4 linked regions of the Schizosaccharomyces pombe genome follow. The gene in region 3 interacts genetically with the main gene of each other region. Each region holds a gene or a part of one and is shown on either strand. Other genes may lie near its edges.

Region 1 (3,090 bases), 1.2 Mb from region 3:
TTATTGAAAACTCGAGAGCAAATAAAAAACTATTCAAAAATTAATATACTTATAAAGGAGCTTTTCGGATTAGAAGTTGCAGACTGTATAGAGGACGAGGATGGATATCGTTTCAACTGTAAAAACACTGGAAGGAGAGGGAGTAAGTGCTTTAAGGGATTTAGAAATAATTTCAAGCTAACAGGATATTATTATAGCACTCGAATATCAGCTCTTGTTAGATGATCAAAACTTTACATTTACTCCACGTCTGAATGTTCAAACTGATGAGGAGCTTATGAAACATTTACCAGACTATTTGTTGGAGGAAATTATCTTTACGAAAGAACAAGGAAAATTATTTTCTGCTAGATTAATGAAAGCTTTGCAAGATTAACAATAATAACTATGGATTTTGCTTAAACTTTAATACTTCCTTGTTATATGAATAGCACTATATCTTAAATTAATTGTGCTCGTCGAGATATCACTTTTTTCATCGTCCGTCAAAAGCTGCGATGTTTGTATTCTGCTACCATAATTATCTATTATTAATTTTTACATCTTTTATTCGAAAAGACCTTAACCGCTTAGGAAAAAATTGAATGCAAAAAACTTAAGGAAATGGGTAGAATTCAAATCAAAGACTGTATATAGAAAGCTATTGATATCGTAATATATTATTATTCTAGTGATAACCATAAGCATTGGACTATCATAAGTAATCAAACTGCATACTTTTTCGTCCATTCACGGGCATTTGCAATTGCCTGTGGCTCATTTTCTTTCCAAATCTTTGCAACATCATTGTCTAAAGGGTCATCTGGGTTGGGAGCACCCATTAATGCCTGTATCGAAAGTAGCACGGTTCGAATTTGTAAAGCAGGACTCCAATCCTCTGATTTATTAATGTTAGTACACCAAAATAAGATGAAACGTGTGAAGTTTAACATACTTTTTAACGTAGATAAACATATGCGACCTAATTTATCAACGTTTGGATGATAAATTTTAGTAAGAAAACGAACATTGGGAGGCATCTAATAGTTGTTAAAACTCAAATTACACAATTATACAATTTTTTGAAGACAGTTTGAAACTGACAATGCCATTCTTCAAATTTTTGTTGAACTAGCAGGGCTAGCAAAAGGACCATGGTAGGCTCAATACTGTGTTTTCAAAAAAAACCTACCATTGGATACTCATCAGGAAGAAACAGCTCTAAGTGAAATTTTCCACCTTCATAAGCTGATTGCTGAGGCCCTTCCATAGTAATTTTAAAATAGCGAAGATTATCTTCAGTGGGAGCCGCTACAATTCCGGGTGGAGGATCTCTCGTAAGGGTTTCAATTTCCTACCAATTATTAGTTGAAAAATGCTAACAGAAAGCGCAAACCTTAATAATACGCTTAGGCAAAGCCATTGTTCATATACTTGGACTTCCTAGAATGCATGCTGTACACACAATAAGTACTTGGTTTAAGGAGAAACTGGAGAGATTGATACACTATTCTATATAAGGAGTGACGTAAAACATAATACAAATAGTGAGTGATAATAAAATCTCCACGGCTCTAGCTAAGAATAGTATTAGCAATTGACAAGTAGCCATGGCTTCTTAGTTTATTATTATTAATATTCATAATATTGTATAAAATTTAATTTGTTTTTTTATAAAAAAAAAGATTCAGAATCCTGAAATTGCTACAGTCACCTGGCCCATATCGAAAAAGATGAGGGAATTACAGGGAGACGATTCTTCAAGAAAGTCTCCTCCGAGTGATTCGGTTGTAAAAAATTCTTCGCCTATTGATTATGAACATTCATTGAAATCTCTTCAAGATGAACGTACCTTGAATTACCCCAATAAGCAATTTAATTCTGAAAACCCATCTTCATACTATAATATGGATGATAGCGGGGAATTATGCAACTTTGAATTGGAGAAAGACAGTCTTGAATCAATGATCCATGAATCGTCCACTGCTCTAAGCGCTCAATCAAACACTGCACAAGACGGTGATCAACTAGCTTCATCGTCAACAATCTCTAAAGATCACTCAGAAACGTTGGACAATAAGCTAAACGATTCTAAGATATTAATTAAAAAAGCTTCTAACTCCTTTGCAAATTTTTCAGAAAGTGTAAGGTCTAGTACCATTGTTGCATATTCTCAAACACCGACACAAAGGTTGCAAGGTTTAACTTCCATATCATCTTCTTCTTTTGACGATGGTAGTTATGGATCTCGTCGAATATCTTTTAACTCTCAGGGTGTTTCTGGTCGGTTGCGAAGAAATATGGATTCCACGGTCATCATCCCTTCCGAAGATGAAGACTTGCAGTTACCATCGAATTCTAACAGCAATGTGGAATACGGCCCTTTTGATAGTACTACGTTTGATAGACAATTATCAATTGAAGTTAATCAACCAGTGGGTGCTATGTCTTTATCTCCTTGTGGTAGAGATATAGCTTTAGCTTCACGTTATGGTTTACTAGTCTTAGATCTTGATAATCCTTATAATCCACCAAGAATGCTAAGACATTCTACTCCTTGGGAAGTTGCTGATACTCAGTGGAATGTTCATGCCGCAAGAGACCAATGGGTGGTTTCTACATCAAGTCAAAAAACGATAGTATGGAACCTTGCACTACCAAATGATCGTGCTATAGAATTTATGTTACATGGACACACCCGCGCCGTCACAGATATGAACTGGCATCGGCAAAATCCTGATGTTCTTGCCACTTGTTCAATTGATTCCTCTGTTCACTGTTGGGATTTGCGTAGTCCTCGATTTCCTGTTAACTCCTTTTACGATTGGCATAACGGAGCTACTCAGGTAAAATGGAATTATAAAAATCCCCACATACTTGCTTCTAGCCATGGACGTTTAGTAAGGATTTGGGACGATCGTTATGGATCCGCCCCACTTCATACAATTAAAACTTCCGAAAATATTACTAAAATTAATGGTCTTGAATTCAATAGAGCATGTGAAACTCGCCTATTAACTTGTGCTATGGATCGAACAGTTAAGTTTTGGAACTATGAAAAGTCAACAGAGGAGCCTGAGCATTTAATTACCACTGATTCTCCAGTATGGA
Region 2 (3,579 bases), on a different chromosome or scaffold from region 3:
CAATTTATTAAACAGTGCTTAAAAATGAACAGAGTTGTTGATTTTTCTCCTTATTTATTGGCATCTGGCTATTCACACCGTCTAGATTGTACACTTTCCCAACGGATAGAACCTTTTGATACCACTGATTCTTTATATGACAGACTTTTGGCAAGGAAGGGTCCTTTATTTGGAAAAAAGATTTTATTTATTATACCTGAAGCAAAATCTTGGCAGAAAAAGATTGAAAATACAGAGCAGGGTCAAAAAGCTTTGGCTCATGTCTATCACGCGTTGGCATTGGGTGCTGACGTTGAAATTAGACCAAATGTTGCACATTTGGAGTGTGATTTGATACTTACGATGGATGGAAACATTGTAGATGAAACTAATTGTCCGGTCGTTGATCCTGAATGGATAGTCGAATGTCTTATTAGTCAGTCTGATATTTCTACTTAGTTTTGGTTTTTTGATATAGTTATTTTTACTAACTCCCCCTGAGTTTCACTCTCATTAATTTAGCTTTTTATTAATTTTAGATATTTGTTGTTTATTAATTTATTTGCAATACTGACGAAAAGTGTCAATTTCAATATTAAACAAAAACTTTCTCTAAAAATCTACATGAGAGGATTGATTGGGATTATTAAAAATTTTCAACGAACTTAAAGTCCTTTATTTTTTCACTTTTTTTCGTGGCTGTAGAATATTGGCTTGCGTAGCAGGTTTCGAATGGTTGTGATTTTTACGATCATCACGTTTTGCCAACCCACATATATCTAGCTTGTAGCGCTTATAATGAAAATCCTTTAAATTTTGTACAGCGGAAAGTGTGTTACTAAGAAACTTTTCTGTTGACGACTGTGCATCAGATAAAGAGCCAAATGGATGCTTCAATAAAGTATCGTAAGTGACTCTGTATAATTTAGCTGGAATCATTACACCAGAATCACCAAAATTATCTTTAGCAATAAATTCTCTTGTTTGATAGAACTGTAGCTGTAATGTGAAAAAGCCAACTAGTTTACCTGAGGAGCACTCTTGTCTATAAGTCAGCGTATCCCAAAACTCTTCAACGGACATGTCACTTTTCTCATCTTGAAGCTCGCATAAATACCTACATTTTGGGTCATCTGGAAATCTTGGTAATTCTTCAACTGCTTTTCCAGTTGTTATAGCGTTGCTTTCAATCCAATGACGATTGGGTAAGTACGAACGAATATTTTCAAGTCCAGGAACAAATAAATAAGCCTTAGGAAGTAATGTGGAATTCTTTTGCTTTTCGGAATCGTTTGGTGCTTCACTGTCAGTATAATACTTCCTGAGTTTTTCCAAACAATTTACCCACCAGCGTAACAAACCAGAATCATTCAGCACATGCTTTTGTCCATTGTCCACCGACTCAGGAAATAAATATTGACCTTGAGCAATCGCAAACAGAGTCAAAGTTACATTTTCGGCTCCTTGTTTTCTAAGACCGTCAATAAGTGTCACTAAGCAGCAAAAAGCAAGAGAGTTACAAGATACCCCTTTGCTGCCGAATCCGGTAGAATCTGCTTTAGATACAAATACTATAAACTCTTTGTTTTTTTCGTAAACTATGCATTCCATGCCAAAAATAAATACATTTTGTTCCTCTACCAAAAAAAGATGACTCCCAAATTGAAAATCCTTAGACTTCTTACTTTGACCAAATAGAAATGGACATTTCTCTAAAGTACTTTTAAGATGATAAATACTCAATTTTCTGCCTTCTAATATACTTTCTGACCAAAGATCCGGCATATTCTTTAGTTTAAAGGATAAAGAGAGTTAACGCAACTACAGCAATTATTGTGAGTGAATACTATGTTACAATTGCTTAAGTGATATAATGAATCTAATAAAACAACGTCAAAATCCGTAAGGAGCTTTAATTTTTGCTGGTAAACCTTTATAGTGTGTTCGTTATTGATGACTATTCTGAGATGCATGGCAAGAGGTGTTGTTTCTACAGCTCTCTTAAAAGTTCCAACTTATTACACTCTCAATACACATCAATATGAGTACATTAGACTTGAACCATTTAGCAGATCTTTATGACAGAAAGGATTGGAATGCTTGTAAAAAGGAACTTCTGAAACTGAAAGTCGAACTTGCTAAGCAGAACCTCTTCGTCCCTACTAGCGATAAAGAGAAAGCTAGTTTTGCCAGTATGTTATTTGTATAGTTATCTAAGAACAGACCTCTAATCTTCCTTATAGGAAATGTATTTGAATACGGTGTACTTGTCTCGATTCAAACTTGTGATATTGAATCGTTTGCAAGGTATGCTAGCCAAGTAATTCCTTTTTATCATGATTCCCTTGTCCCTTCATCAAGGATGGGACTTGTTACAGGATTAAATTTGTTGTATCTATTATCTGAAAATCGTATCGCTGAATTTCACACAGCCTTGGAATCCGTTCCTGACAAATCGTTATTTGAAAGAGATCCGTACGTAGAATGGGTTATTTCTCTAGAACAAAATGTAATGGAAGGTGCATTTGATAAGGTAGCATCCATGATTCGATCCTGTAACTTTCCTGAGTTTAGTTATTTTATGAAAATTGTTATGAGTATGGTTCGAAACGAAATTGCGACTTGTGCCGAGAAAGTGTATTCAGAAATCCCCTTATCTAATGCAACAAGTTTGCTGTACCTGGAAAACACTAAGGAAACCGAAAAACTTGCTGAAGAACGAGGCTGGGATATTAGAGACGGTGTAATATACTTTCCCAAAGAGGCCAATGCTTTGGAGACGGAGGATGGTATGCTTATTGATGAGGAAGACGAATTGGAGCTTCCTCCCACTGCTAGCAAGCACACAATTTCGAGTATTCGTCAATTACTGAGTTACACCTCAGAATTAGAGCAGATTGTTTAATGAATCAAACATCTTGTTTGATGGTAATTACTCTTTCTACAAAAGTCAAGGCGTTTATTTCACTTCCCTCTTATTAACAAACGAATCATATTTTATGCTATAACCTTTATTATTCGTAAGAGATACCTTTTGTTCTCATTAACTTGAGCAACATGCAAGTTTATGTTCAATACTGAAAAAGAGTTGATGAAGTTATATGAGATAAGAATGTGTAGAAATCTAAAATCGAATTATGCTTTTTTCTTCCCTTTGTAAGGTAACGCGTAAAAGCCAGAGGCTATGTATTCTTTTTTAGGTTAAAGGAACCATCGACTTCAAGTAAGGAAGGAATAGAACTTGCAGCTCCCTTTCTCTGTACAGTAATAGCACTACATTTAGCAGCAAATTCCAGTGAGTCCTTAAGTGGCTGTCCGTGTGCAATTGAATTAGAAAAGGCACCAATGAAGGTATCGCCAGCGGCAGTCGTGTCAACGGCTTTCACTTTGCATGCTGAGACCAAAGCAGATTCTCCGTTCGCAGACTTATAGTAAGCACCTTGGCTACCAAGGGTTATAATTACGGCTTTACGGACACCGAAGCTTAGTAACTTAGAAGCATATGCATCCACATTTTCCAACGTAGCAGGTGAGTCTGCTTGATTTAAGAGAATGGCAGCTTCATGTTCGTTAGGTACAAGATAGGCACAATAAGATATC
Region 3 (5,963 bases):
TACTGTATTGAATACCGCCAGAAACTCCGTAACGGCGAAAGTTATCATTTTCGTCGGATTGTTTAGAAGGAGAAAATACCTTATTTATGTCACGCGTATCTTTCAACCCCGTTTCTTTCAATAATTCTTGCAACAAAGCAACTTCAGAAGGATCTCGTACAAATCCAGCATCAAACCAATTGCGAACTAGACGAACAAATTTAGCGCTTGATTGAAAATCTGCTTGCTTGTATAAGGAATCTTGCTGCCGCACACATATGTATCTTGTCTTTATTTTTGGAAGAGTCCTTTTCAGTCCCCAATCACCACGAGCTCTACTATTTTTTTTTGAAGTTATGGATTGCAATCGAGGAAACCGAAGGTGTGATGTTGAATAATTGGATTCTGGAAGACATTTTGGAGAAGCCATTGCCCTCGAGCCACGGAGAATTTGTGCAAAACTCATATTTTTACAAAAATTCAAGATTTATATTGGGACTTGGCTTCTATGAGGAGAACGGTGGCTGTACGGTAGTAAGCACTGAGCGCTGTCAGTATCTAACATTGACTCCGGTAAGTTAGGGTAGGGTTTAAATGTAAAATCAAAAAGCACAACGCAATATTAGTAGTACTAACTAATAATTTAGTCTAATATAAACAAAATAAAAAAAATAAATTCAATTATTAACAAGAAGGTATTAAAGTTCGCAAAGCGTGATATGAATCAATCTCTGGTCCATCAGCATATATATCTAAATTTACATGTTGACACAGTAGCATTTTCAATAAGATTAAAGCGCCAACTGAAAGAAATATGTTAGTAGAAGTAATGTGAATAATCTATTTAAGTTTGCAAGCAATCCCTTTTCATTTGATCATAAAAAAAATGAGAGTGTTATCTTACAAACTACTAAGCGACCAATCTATACGGGATTGCTTCACCGTCCAACAAAAAATGCAAAGTATATCTATACTTACCCTTGTCAAGTACTTCTCCAGAGCAAACTCCGCCTTCAAATTTTGAACTCGTAATACATCCGGGACAACCTTCACGAACTTTGCAATCGCAACTCTCAATTCGCTCAATGGCCATTGTAATTAATTCATCAGTATGTTCATATGCCTTGTTGCATAAACCAGCACCAGATGAATCACCACAATTATCATAGAAAATGAGTCGGGAAGGACGTCTTCGCTCGCTTTTAGCCTCTTTATACTCCTTTTCACCCGCTTTACATTCTGTTCGAATATCGTTACCGCTGTTACTAATAAAAATTGGCATCAACGAAAGTAAAGCATGTTGGGCAGCATGTATACTAGCGGCTCCATTTATTTTTTTTAATGACAAAACCTCAATGATATGCCAAGGTACATCTATCCAGAAACCTCGACTATCAATTTCAACAGGATGATCGGTAATATCTACCACGTCCAGAATATCTTTCTGCTTGTTAACTTTGAAATACCCAAATACATGTAATGTTGCTTTAACAGCCCCAAAATAAATGTTTGTACTTCCATGCATAGTCTTCTTCATTAAGCTGCGAACAGGATCAACATCTGTGAAATCTCTTTGCAATGTTGACCATTCAACATCAACTTGATGAGCAGTAATAATTCTCTTGTTAATATTTAGGAGCCTAATGATAAACGTTTTTCCTTGATAAACATAAACTGCACCTTCGTAAGCAGTTAATGCAACACGAAAAGGTTCGAGGAGTTCTAGAATAACATTCTTATCATTTGTGACATCGACGAGAGTAAACATGTCTTCACTAACGCTTCGTATCCGTACCTGCGAGGCAGGAAAAGGAAGATATTTTGGATGAGGCCGATAACTCTCTTCAACCATTTCTAAATTTGCTTCGCAAATGTCTTGAATTTGATTTCCAAAAAACTTTTCGTCGCTCCTTATGTTAATGGGAAGCTCATATGCAGCACACTGAAGATGACTCGCTAGTAATACCTCATTTGTCAAGTCTAAAGTGAGTTCAGCATTTGGTTGAGTGTGAATCAAAATAGGATGCTTTAAATAAAACTGATCAACGGGAAATGTCTCAACTATATATACTGCTAAGGAAGACTTATTCCTTCTACCAGCACGACCAAATTGCTGGCGCAAGTTAGACAAAGAATATGGAAATCCTATGGTTATAACGGCATCCAGTGATCCTATATCAATACCTAGCTCTAAAGCATTCGTCGCAATAATCCCATATAATTTCCCGTTAAACATTTCACTCTCTATCTTCCTGCGTTCCTGAACCGTATACCCAGCCCTATACGATTGAATCTTAGATAAAAGATCTCCTTTTTGTTTGGTTTTTAATTCCTGCCTCACTAGTCTCATTAACGACTCACAGGTTTTTCGAACACGACAGAAAACAATTGTACGCACCCGCTTTTCGGCAAATTTAATAAGCAGTTTCGAGGCTTCAGAGATTGCGCTTTTCTTTCCATCATCAGGATGCTTGGGGTCGACATAAGGTGGATTCCACATTACAAATTTTTTTGAACCAGAAGGAGAAGAAGTATAGTTAATTAGTTTTATATTATCTACTCCAAAAATTTTTTTCATATGTTGTAAAGGATCCTCAATAGTAGCCGAGCATGATACAAATCGATATTGACTATTTCCAAAGTACTCAGCAATACGGCGCATCCTTCTTAGAACAAAAGCAACGTGAACGCCAAATATTCCATTGTACACATGAGCTTCATCCAGGACGAAAAGTTTCAGGTTTTTAAAGAAATAATACCAACGATTAGCATTGGGAAGAATCGTTTGATGTAACATATCCGGATTCGTAAAGATTATATTTGCAGATCTAATAATACTTTCTCTAGACTCAAGTGGTGTATCCCCATCGAAGGTGTCCACTCGAATATTCTTAAGCGTCGGCATATAGCTAAGTATATCGATTAACGACTTCTTCTGATCTTGGGCTAAAGATTTAGTAGGGAATACAAAAAATGCCGTAGATTGATTATCTTCTAACAAACTTTGTAAAATTGGAATTTGGTAAATCAAAGACTTTCCACTAGATGTAGAAGTTGACACTATAACATGAAATCCGTTCCAAAGGTGGTTGATAGCGTCTGCCTGATGTTTGTATGTCTTTTCGATGTTTCTAGATGTATAAAGAGCATTTATAAGCTCTTGAGACAAAGGTCGAGACAACGCTCCATATTGTGCTTCAACAGCAGGATAAGTATGTAAAGCTTCTTGGACTATTTGCCCTTCGTAAGAAGATTCAGAAGCTATTTCATTTAAAAGTTCTTCAATTGAGCACGCTTTAGTATTTAAATTGCAGTTTTCTATTGAATCATTAGGAATACTCGGTGAATCAGGAGGAACCGGCTGGTTTTTCCGGGATTGAGTTAATAGCTGTTGCGTTGGGTCAAGTTCTGTCAATTGACATTTTTTTATATATTCTTTAATCCCTTGAAGGAACTTTTGGTTTCGTAACTCTATGGCTTTCTTCAAATTATTAAAATCCAGCTTTTGCCTCTGGATATTAGCCTTCATTGTTGGGCCTTCACGTCTCCTTCGTTTGGAACTTCTCTCTTGCGTTTCTAAAAGCTCAATAACCAAAACATATTCAGAACTCTGTGAGACCGTTGAACCAGTGTACAACTCAGGGTTTAGATCAGTGTAAACATTTTTATTGATTTCTAATGCAAGGCTAGCAAGTGATTTATAATTTAATTCAATTATTTGAGGACATATTTCTCTTAGCTGAGATAAATCGCCGATTGTCAACTCCTTTTTCAAACTTTGCTTAACACTCGAATTGAGAAGGGGAAAAGTGATTGTAAGAGAATTTCTCAAATAAAGAAAAGTGTATGTAGTATTAATTACCTTGAATAAATTAAAAAGATTGTCAAATATGGATGGAATAGGCTGATTAGCTTGAATAGTTCCAAGTTGTGGTTTTTTTTTGGGATTATCTGCTTTCAGAGGGAGCTTCCCTTCATTAATATATTTTTTAAATTCAAATTTATCATCCTGATCATTAGATTCTTCCTTTTTAATAGGAGTTTGAGACATTACCCCTTCACCATTAAAGTATGGGCTAAGTGCAAAGGTATTGAAATACAATGATTTCCATTATAACGTGGTAAATGAACAATTAGTGAAGGATCACTTATATAATTATTTAGTATCAGTTTTTAAATTTTTAATTTCTTCATCCTCTTTTAACTCTATAGGTAGCTTATAAAACTTTGTTCCCTTGATAGAATCGGGTAAATACTGAGTAGGTTAACAAATTGAAAAGAATATTTTTTATTACCTCTTGCATTACTAATCCGTCTTTATAATCCGGATTGTATTTATATCCTTTATGGTATCCTAATTGCTTCATCAAATTTGTAGGAGCATTTCGAATATGCATGGGAATTTCAGCCCTGCCAGCATCGGGATGAGAAGACAAAAAACTTTTTACAGCATTATATGATCTGTAAACGTCAACTGATTTTGGAGCTAATGCTAAGGCGACGGCGCAATGAGCTAGAATTACATCGGCTTCAGGCATGCCAACTTGTTGAACAGCAGTAAATGTACTGGATGCTAGAGGTAGCATAGAATTATCTGCTATTCCAATGTCTTCGCTTGCTATTCTAACCATTCTTCGTGCCACATACAGTGGATCTTCTCCAGACTCGAGCATTCTACCCAGATAGTATAAAGTTGCATCGACATCAGAACCCCTTACTGATTTATGGAAGGCAGAAATTGTATCATAATGAACATCACCTACTCTGTCGTAAAGTGCAGAAGATCTGACTAGCTTGTCCTTAATATCTTCGAGTGACAGGGGTCCTTGTCTTAGCATTCCAATAGACATTTCTAAAGCATTTAAGGCCATTCTAGCATCTCCGTCTGTAATAGCAGATATGTAATCAATAATAGATGTTTCAACGTTGGGCATAGAAGATCCTAGTCGCTCACTTTCCAGTAAGCAAGCATGGTTTAATATTTTCTTAACATTATCACGCGTTAGTTTCTTAAGCACAAAAACGGGGCATCTGCTAATGAGAGCAGAATTTAGTCGGAAAGAAGGATTTCTACAATGTTAATCATGGTGGAAAACATTAGTGTTTAAACATACTCAGTTGTTGCGCCGATCCTAATTCAAAGGTTAGCATTTGTGATATTAGAATGCATCACTTACAGAGTAACTAGACCCTTTTCAACCATTGGCACTAGTCATGGTTAATTGAAGAGATAAAAAAATATCAAACTTACAAAATATATCCTGTTGCGCACGGTTGAAACGATGTACTTCGTCCAAGAAAATAATAGTCTTTCTTCCTGTCAAGGTGAGATAATTTTGTGAGTCTTCAAAGATTTTACGACAATCAGCAACAGTCGTCGAAGTCGCAGAAATTTCTATGAACCTTGATTTTGTTGTAACGGCAATTAGTCTAGCAAGCGTAGTCTTTCCAGTTCCAGCACTACCCCATAAAATCATGGAATTGCACCTATCTTGTTCAATCAGATTACGAATGATGCCTCGCTCACCAACCAGCTCTTCCTGACCAACATATTCATCTAGTGATTTGGGTCTTGCTCGTTCCGCCAGTGGTCGTGTATCCCGTCTTGTAAGTTTAGTTTTCTTTGTAGGGCTGGGTTCAGGCTCTATAAATTTTGTAGCGCTCTGGTGAGATGAGACATTTGTTTCTAAATGATGTTTATAGCGTTCCTTTTTAAAAAAGGGTGAAACAGGTTTCGAAGGGCCTGATGAGTCCGAATAATGTGAATCAAGGTGTGGATTAATGTCATTCATCGTAACTGTTTTCGCGCAAACAGGACATTGAACATGATCTGGTCCTGACATTCTGATTTACATAGATAAAAGTATGTGGTACGAAAGGTAAACAGATAAATCTGGAATGAAACAATAACACATACAAATGAGCGACCTTTGGCAAGAAAGTTTACAAAAAAAAGTAACGTTTAAGGAATTTTGATCATCAAA
Region 4 (5,693 bases), on a different chromosome or scaffold from region 3:
CAGCTTTAACTCGCTTCCCTTGCGCATTTCCAAAAGACTCCAGTATATTTCTAAATTGTTATTTTTTATTCCATCATATTTTGCTCAACTTACGAGCCTGTTCAACAGCTTTTACTGCAAACTAAAATTTTTTAAATCAGTACATGCTTTACCAAAACTAAATACTTTCTACAACCACGTACCTGCATTTCAATCTAAAATCTGTAAGTATTATTAAATAAATAATAACCAAGGCTTACCTCGGCGGCATTTTCCGCATTTTCCGCATCAATTTTTGTACTTAACATTTCGAAAAATATTCTGTTTCTCCGTTTTTACTTTACTGCTGCTAAGTAGGTTGTAGTAGAAAGTGACATTAGGTAAGGTAACAAAGAGCAAGAAAAATTGTAAATAATCAAAACACGAATAAATCACAAAATATAAGCTATGTTGCTCAATTACTTTGTCTAAACACAGTTACAGCAGGAAAACTCAAAAAAATTTACTCAACAAAAAATTACAGTAACTTCTTTTATAGGAACAACCAGTTAAGTAAACAAATAAATAAATAATTTATTAAACTTATTTTCTTCTTCTTTTGCTGGGTTTTTTTAGTAAGCTAGTACTAAGCTTGGTTTTTCTAGGTAGATTCTCAATAGAAATTGAAGAAGAATTCGTCTTCGGAGTTAAACTTGCTAAAAAGTTATCTTCAGAGTCTGAATCTGAATCAGAGGAATTTTTGCTTGCCATCATTTTCTTCCTTCTAAGAATACGGCTTTGTAGTTCATCTGATCCTTTAGATTCACCAAATGCATCTGCGTCTGCCTGAATTTCTTCACTCATTGGGCTTTGATTGCTAATCTGATTTTTAAAAGATGAAAGAGCATTTTCAAGCCGTTTACTCTTAAAATGGTATGCAACTCTCGGCGCATATACATTAGTATTACCACCTTCAAAAAACTGAGTCAAATTGGACTGTGTACCCACGAATTGCTTTTTATGCATGTCTTGTATAACCGGAAGTAAAACTTCATTAGTTCGTTGTTTTGACCAACCCACAGTAGCCATCAAAAACTGGCGTAACTCGTCAAGGTCGGGTATGCCCCATTGAAACGATTGCTTGCTATCATCCACGGCCGGATGAAGATAAGCTTCATCAACTAACGGATTAGGAAATTCTGATGGTAAAATAATTTTTCCAACCAACTTGTTAATTCTCTTTTTTACTGGCGTATTAACATCATTTTTTGATGCGTGTCCAGTTGATAAACGTTGAAACCATTTTTTAAATTCAAAAAGTCCAGTGTCACCAGGAAATTCATGTAAAATCTCCAGTGCAAGAACTGGACCTACCCTAGAAAGTCCCATAGTATAATCACTTCCCAAAAGATGTGCCAACTTAATTAAATCCATTTGATTCACATTAAATTCTCTTTTCATATCATCCATTAAATAGAGTTCGACAAATTTGTTCTGATTAAACATATTTCGATATACCCGAGTTCCACCAAAAAGAAACACGTCTGAGTCATCAGTAACAATCCCATCAACCAGCTTTAGCTCCAAAAGTTTAGAACACTGGGCTTCTGCTTCTTGAGGAGCAACGATATATGGTAAGCCAAATAAACGCAGAAGTTCTTGACATTCTTTAATCATTACTTGAGTGACCTCATCCGCATCACGTTTTTCAGACCTTTTTTGATTTTTGAGCTCTTTCAACCTTTTTTCAAAGGCCTCTTGATTCCACTCTTCAGTTTCATGTCGTTGATTGAGTTCTGAAACAAACCGATCATATTCCTTTTCTTCTTCTGCCATCCTGATAATCATTTCCTCTTCTTCCTCATCTAAAAGTTTTTCAACCACTTCAGGCTCTACTTTCGAACTCAAGGCAGCAGCTCCTTTATTTGGAGAGGCTTCTTTTTGAAAGTCAGTTGGAATGCTAAGTGAAGGGCTGCTGGTCTCTAAAGTAGGAAGAACAGCGTCAATTGATTCGGATTTGATATCCCCAGTATCCTTAGCATTTTCGGAGCTCAATAAATACACTGACATGGCCTTATCACTAGAAACATTTAATGGGTTGGTAACTGTGCCATCATCAGCTTGTTCTTTCATATTCTCAAAGGGTTCCAAAGGATTGAGTTCACGTAAGTCTAAATCTTTTTCATCATCTTTTACCGGAAGAAGAGGTGAAATAATTGGATTTTCAATTCCAGGTTTAGCAGCGTCTAAATCGGATTCAATATTAACTGTTGCATTAATAGTATGTAAATTTGTATCTTCCACAAGTTTAGAATTATCCGGTGCCTCACTTGGTATATCAGTTTTAGAATCCATAAATGTTTCAGTTGGTTTCTTTAATTTCTCGAAAAAAATAGACTTTCCCCAATCCATAGGCTGAAAAGGTAAAGGATCAATTAAATCATTGGTTTTTTTCTCTCTACTCGCAGATGGAAGGGCATCCATAAAAATTGAAGTCCCATTTTCAGGATGCTTTTTTTCCGCGAATGCTAATGAATCATTGGAAACATCTCCAACATGTTCAAGTTTCAAATTTTCCTCGTCGTTAAGAAGTGAATTCATTGAATCCTCTGCAGGAATATCGGTCGACAAAATTTCAAACGTCTTTTTCTCGCTATTCAACTTATCAAACTCAGAAGCCGAAAGACTAAACAGCTCTTTTGATTTTTTGTTTTCCTCTAGAGATTGCTGGGTTGCTAATTGAAGTATTAAATCATCAGTAACATTATAATCTGCTTCATCTGATTGCTGATTTTCCGAAAATGAATTTTCTTTTATTTCCTTTAATTTAGCGGCTACCAATTCTCTAGGGTTCATGCTATGAGATCGGCTAGGTAAAGGCACATCGTAGAATGCCTCATCCTCGTCTTCGTCTATAAGATTGCTGCTAAGTTTTGTAGCCTCATCATCAATAATAATAGGTTCATTGTTTGTAGATCCTGAGATAACACCGAGAGCCCATCCACCTTCAGCACCTTCGTTTTTTACTAAAATATATTCTCGGTTTTTTTCACTTACTACTCTAGAGGGTCCAAACTCATTCATTCCAGTAAAGTCCATTAATCTCTGAGTTAAATCGTTACGTTCCTTCAGTCTCTCAATTTGAAAACGAGAGAAATCCATTCTATTAGGAAACATCTCGGAAAGTTGTTCAGAGCTTAAACCCATTCGTAAACGAGAGCGTAATCTTGCTGCACTTAAAATACTATATTTATCCGTATCGGGTAATGATTGAAATAATTCAGAGTCAAAATCAATATTTGAAAAATCAAATAAATTTATATCTTCAATTTTAGTAAAACTAGAGACATATTGTGTAAGCTCATCCTGGGACATAATTCGAGGGTCGTAACTCGACCCTAACTTATCAAACGAAACGTCCATTTCAGGTAGTTGGTATGGATCAGGCTTCAAATAATTTTTTCTTTGATTAAGTACTGGCTTAATTTCTGAATTATCCAATGTCATAGATGAAGGCATTTGTCTCTCATTTTGAACCGAGGCATTTGCCAATGCAGTAGCTTTTTTATTATTTTCCTCTAAAAGCATTGCCTGATGCCTCATTTGCAAAGCCAGAAGTTTATTGGCCGTGACCGTGGCATTTTCCTCCCTGTCGAGTCTTCTGGCTTGTCTTTTTTGGATAGTTTGGCGTTTCAATGACGGCGCTCCTCCATCAAAAACAAATACAGGTTTAATCCCAAAAAATAATAGTTTGCATATCCTTCTAAAAAATCCTACAACATGACTGCTTTTCAGCTGGTTTCCTTCTTTGTCACGTACGGCCTTTAAGAATTGATAAATCCAAATTGAAGCGTCAATTGCCAACCGTTTGTTAACAAGTGTTTCTAGCTTGACAGGCCTTTTTACCGGTTCTAAAATATCCCAAAGACCTGAAACCCCCATTGCAAAATATTATATGCGATGTCAAGAAGTTTCGTTGTAGACGACTTTATTTTTGATTATTATACGAAGAAATGTGATTAAAGCAAGCCTTTTTCTTTACCCTTTTTCTTCTTTTTTAATTAAAATCGTTATAAAAGACATGTTTTACCAACAAAGCGATAAAACAAGGGCATGTGCGATGATTGATGCTAACACTTTAGTGTGTGGCACTTGACTTGAGCCAATTACCACATTAAACTGATAGGGCTGCCTAAATCATATGGTCAAAAGAAGATTGTCTGCATTTGGAAATGCCTTTTTAATTTATTTTATTATATTTCGGTTATGCTGCTGCTCTCCACAAACGAGTCATTGGTGTAAATATCCGGCATTGTGTTTGAAGTCACCAGATACGCATAACGAAAATTTGGTATGTGATGCGTACCTTTCTGTGATTGCTACCAAATCTGAAGAAAAAGAAGCTAGCAACCCTACAACATGGGATTTCACTCCCACAAATAAGTACCAGGAACCTTCGTTTCACACAAAAACGAGTTTGAATGGAAGTGATACCATTTCTTCTAATTTTTTGTCAAAATATGAATATTCCAATGGAACAAGTACTAGCGAATTTATAGATTCAATTAGCCCACCATTGGTGAACGAGACGTCTACAATTTCATCCTCAAAGAAGCTAGAGCAAAACTATTCTGTAACGGAAGTTATTGATACTAATATTATTACTAGTTCTTCGGTTACTCTACCAATTTCTGAGGATGGTTCCTCTACTTCAGCAGCAGCTACAATTGATTCAAATATAGATGAAAAGACTGTTGCATTCTCAGAAGAAAAAAGATTCAACTTTGCTTCAACTGACTGCGCTGCTGCTGTCATTAAAACAAATCCTGAAGCAGTCGGATCTTCTTCGATTCTGACCGAAAACAAAGACAAATATATGCTGAACAAATGTTCCGCTGAAAACAAGTTCGTGGTAATTGAACTTTGTGAGGATATTTATGTCGATACAGTTCAAATTGCCAACTTCGAATTTTTTTCAAGTATATTTCGTGATTTCAAGGTCAGTGTAAGCGGTAAATATCCAAAATACGAGTCTTCTTGGATGGAATTGGGTACATTTACGGCCTTAAACCTAAGGACTCTTCAATCTTTTCATATTGAGAACCCTCTTATTTGGGCGAAGTATCTTAAAATAGAGTTTTTAACTCATTATGGGTCAGAATTTTATTGTCCTGTAAGCCTACTTAGGGTTTATGGAAAAACTATGATAGAAGAATTTGAAGAAGCAAATGAAGACTTCTTAGAACAAAAAGTGAACGACGGAAGCGCTATTAAAGCAGATGAAATCCGGAAGCCTCAAGAAAGTCCTATTTTTGTGGACGAAGAAGATACCGATGTTCAAAGCAAACCAGTGAGAAAGAATCCATCAGTCGAGTTGAATAGTACAGACACCTTACTTTCTTCTACTGTGATATCTAAGTCTTTGAGCACTGTTGTTATAGGAAATGAAACAGGAAAAAGTGAATCATATCCTGCAACATCAACTCGCTCTTTTAACGATATTTCTCCATCTTCTTCATCTTCTTACAGTACCGCTCAAATATCTACCTTTCCTTCTAATCAGGAAAGCATTTACAAAAACATAAATAAGCGTCTTTCTACCTTAGAAGAACGGAAGAAGGCATTTGATGAAATTGTAGAAAAAATATTAACAAATTATGGTAAGCACAATGCCAAAAACATGAATTTTACGCAGCTATTACATGAATTGAACTCGACCCTTCAATTAGAAATTT

The links.
Region 1: mutations in hrq1 (region 3) and ubc13 impair growth when combined (synthetic growth defect), as found in Schizosaccharomyces pombe (4 studies listed by BioGRID, with this or other methods).
Region 2: mutations in hrq1 (region 3) and rtt109 together harm fitness more than expected from each alone (negative genetic interaction), as found in Schizosaccharomyces pombe (2 studies listed by BioGRID).
Region 4: mutations in hrq1 (region 3) and rad13 together harm fitness more than expected from each alone (negative genetic interaction), as found in Schizosaccharomyces pombe (2 studies listed by BioGRID).

Annotation. Positions count from the first base shown.
Region 1 is NC_003424.3:5,286,680-5,289,769, forward strand, and holds ubc13 (ubiquitin-conjugating enzyme Ubc13), read right to left. Parts: upstream 1,416-3,090; 5' UTR 1,403-1,415; coding exon 1,376-1,402; intron 1,334-1,375; coding exon 1,172-1,333; intron 1,020-1,171; coding exon 935-1,019; intron 878-934; coding exon 705-877; 3' UTR 501-704; downstream 1-500. Other genes in the region: csm1 (microtubule-site clamp monopolin complex subunit Csm1/Pcs1), read left to right, coding at 1-142, 198-376; SEA complex subunit Sea3, read left to right, coding at 1,713-3,090. UniProt on the Schizosaccharomyces pombe protein: Has a role in the DNA error-free postreplication repair (PRR) pathway. The ubc13/spm2 heterodimer catalyzes the synthesis of non-canonical poly-ubiquitin chains that are linked through 'Lys-63'.
Region 2 is NC_003423.3:4,212,986-4,216,564, forward strand, and holds rtt109 (histone lysine acetyltransferase Rtt109), read right to left. Parts: upstream 1,777-3,579; 5' UTR 1,765-1,776; coding exon 655-1,764; 3' UTR 501-654; downstream 1-500. Other genes in the region: crb2 (DNA repair protein), read left to right, coding at 1-438; 19S proteasome regulatory subunit Rpn12, read left to right, coding at 2,021-2,171, 2,223-2,884; rbk1 (ribokinase), read right to left, coding at 3,162-3,579. UniProt on the Schizosaccharomyces pombe protein: Histone chaperone-dependent acetylase that modifies 'Lys-56' of histone H3 (H3K56ac), which occurs predominantly in newly synthesized H3 molecule during G1, S-phase and G2/M of cell cycle.
Region 3 is NC_003424.3:4,113,152-4,119,114, forward strand, and holds hrq1 (RecQ type DNA helicase Hrq1), read right to left. Parts: upstream 4,064-5,963; 5' UTR 4,031-4,063; coding exon 958-4,030; exon of another isoform or gene 783-957; coding exon 664-782; 3' UTR 522-663; downstream 1-521. Other genes in the region: mrp51 (mitochondrial 37S ribosomal protein bS1m), read right to left, coding at 1-445; mgs1 (DNA replication ATPase), read right to left, coding at 4,136-4,234, 4,275-5,049, 5,094-5,111, 5,157-5,187, 5,231-5,822. UniProt on the Schizosaccharomyces pombe protein: Helicase with 3'-5' helicase activity involved in genome stability. Functions in the nucleotide excision repair (NER) pathway and plays a critical role in DNA interstrand cross-link repair.
Region 4 is NC_003423.3:2,672,458-2,678,150, forward strand, and holds rad13 (DNA repair nuclease Rad13), read right to left. Parts: upstream 4,113-5,693; 5' UTR 3,901-4,112; coding exon 562-3,900; 3' UTR 533-561; downstream 1-532. Other genes in the region: SPOM_SPBC3E7.07C (uncharacterized protein), read right to left, coding at 1-50, 94-121, 183-194, 240-287; SPOM_SPBC3E7.09 (Sad1-UNC-like protein), read left to right, coding at 4,160-5,693. UniProt on the Schizosaccharomyces pombe protein: Single-stranded DNA endonuclease involved in excision repair of DNA damaged with UV light, bulky adducts, or cross-linking agents. Essential for the incision step of excision-repair.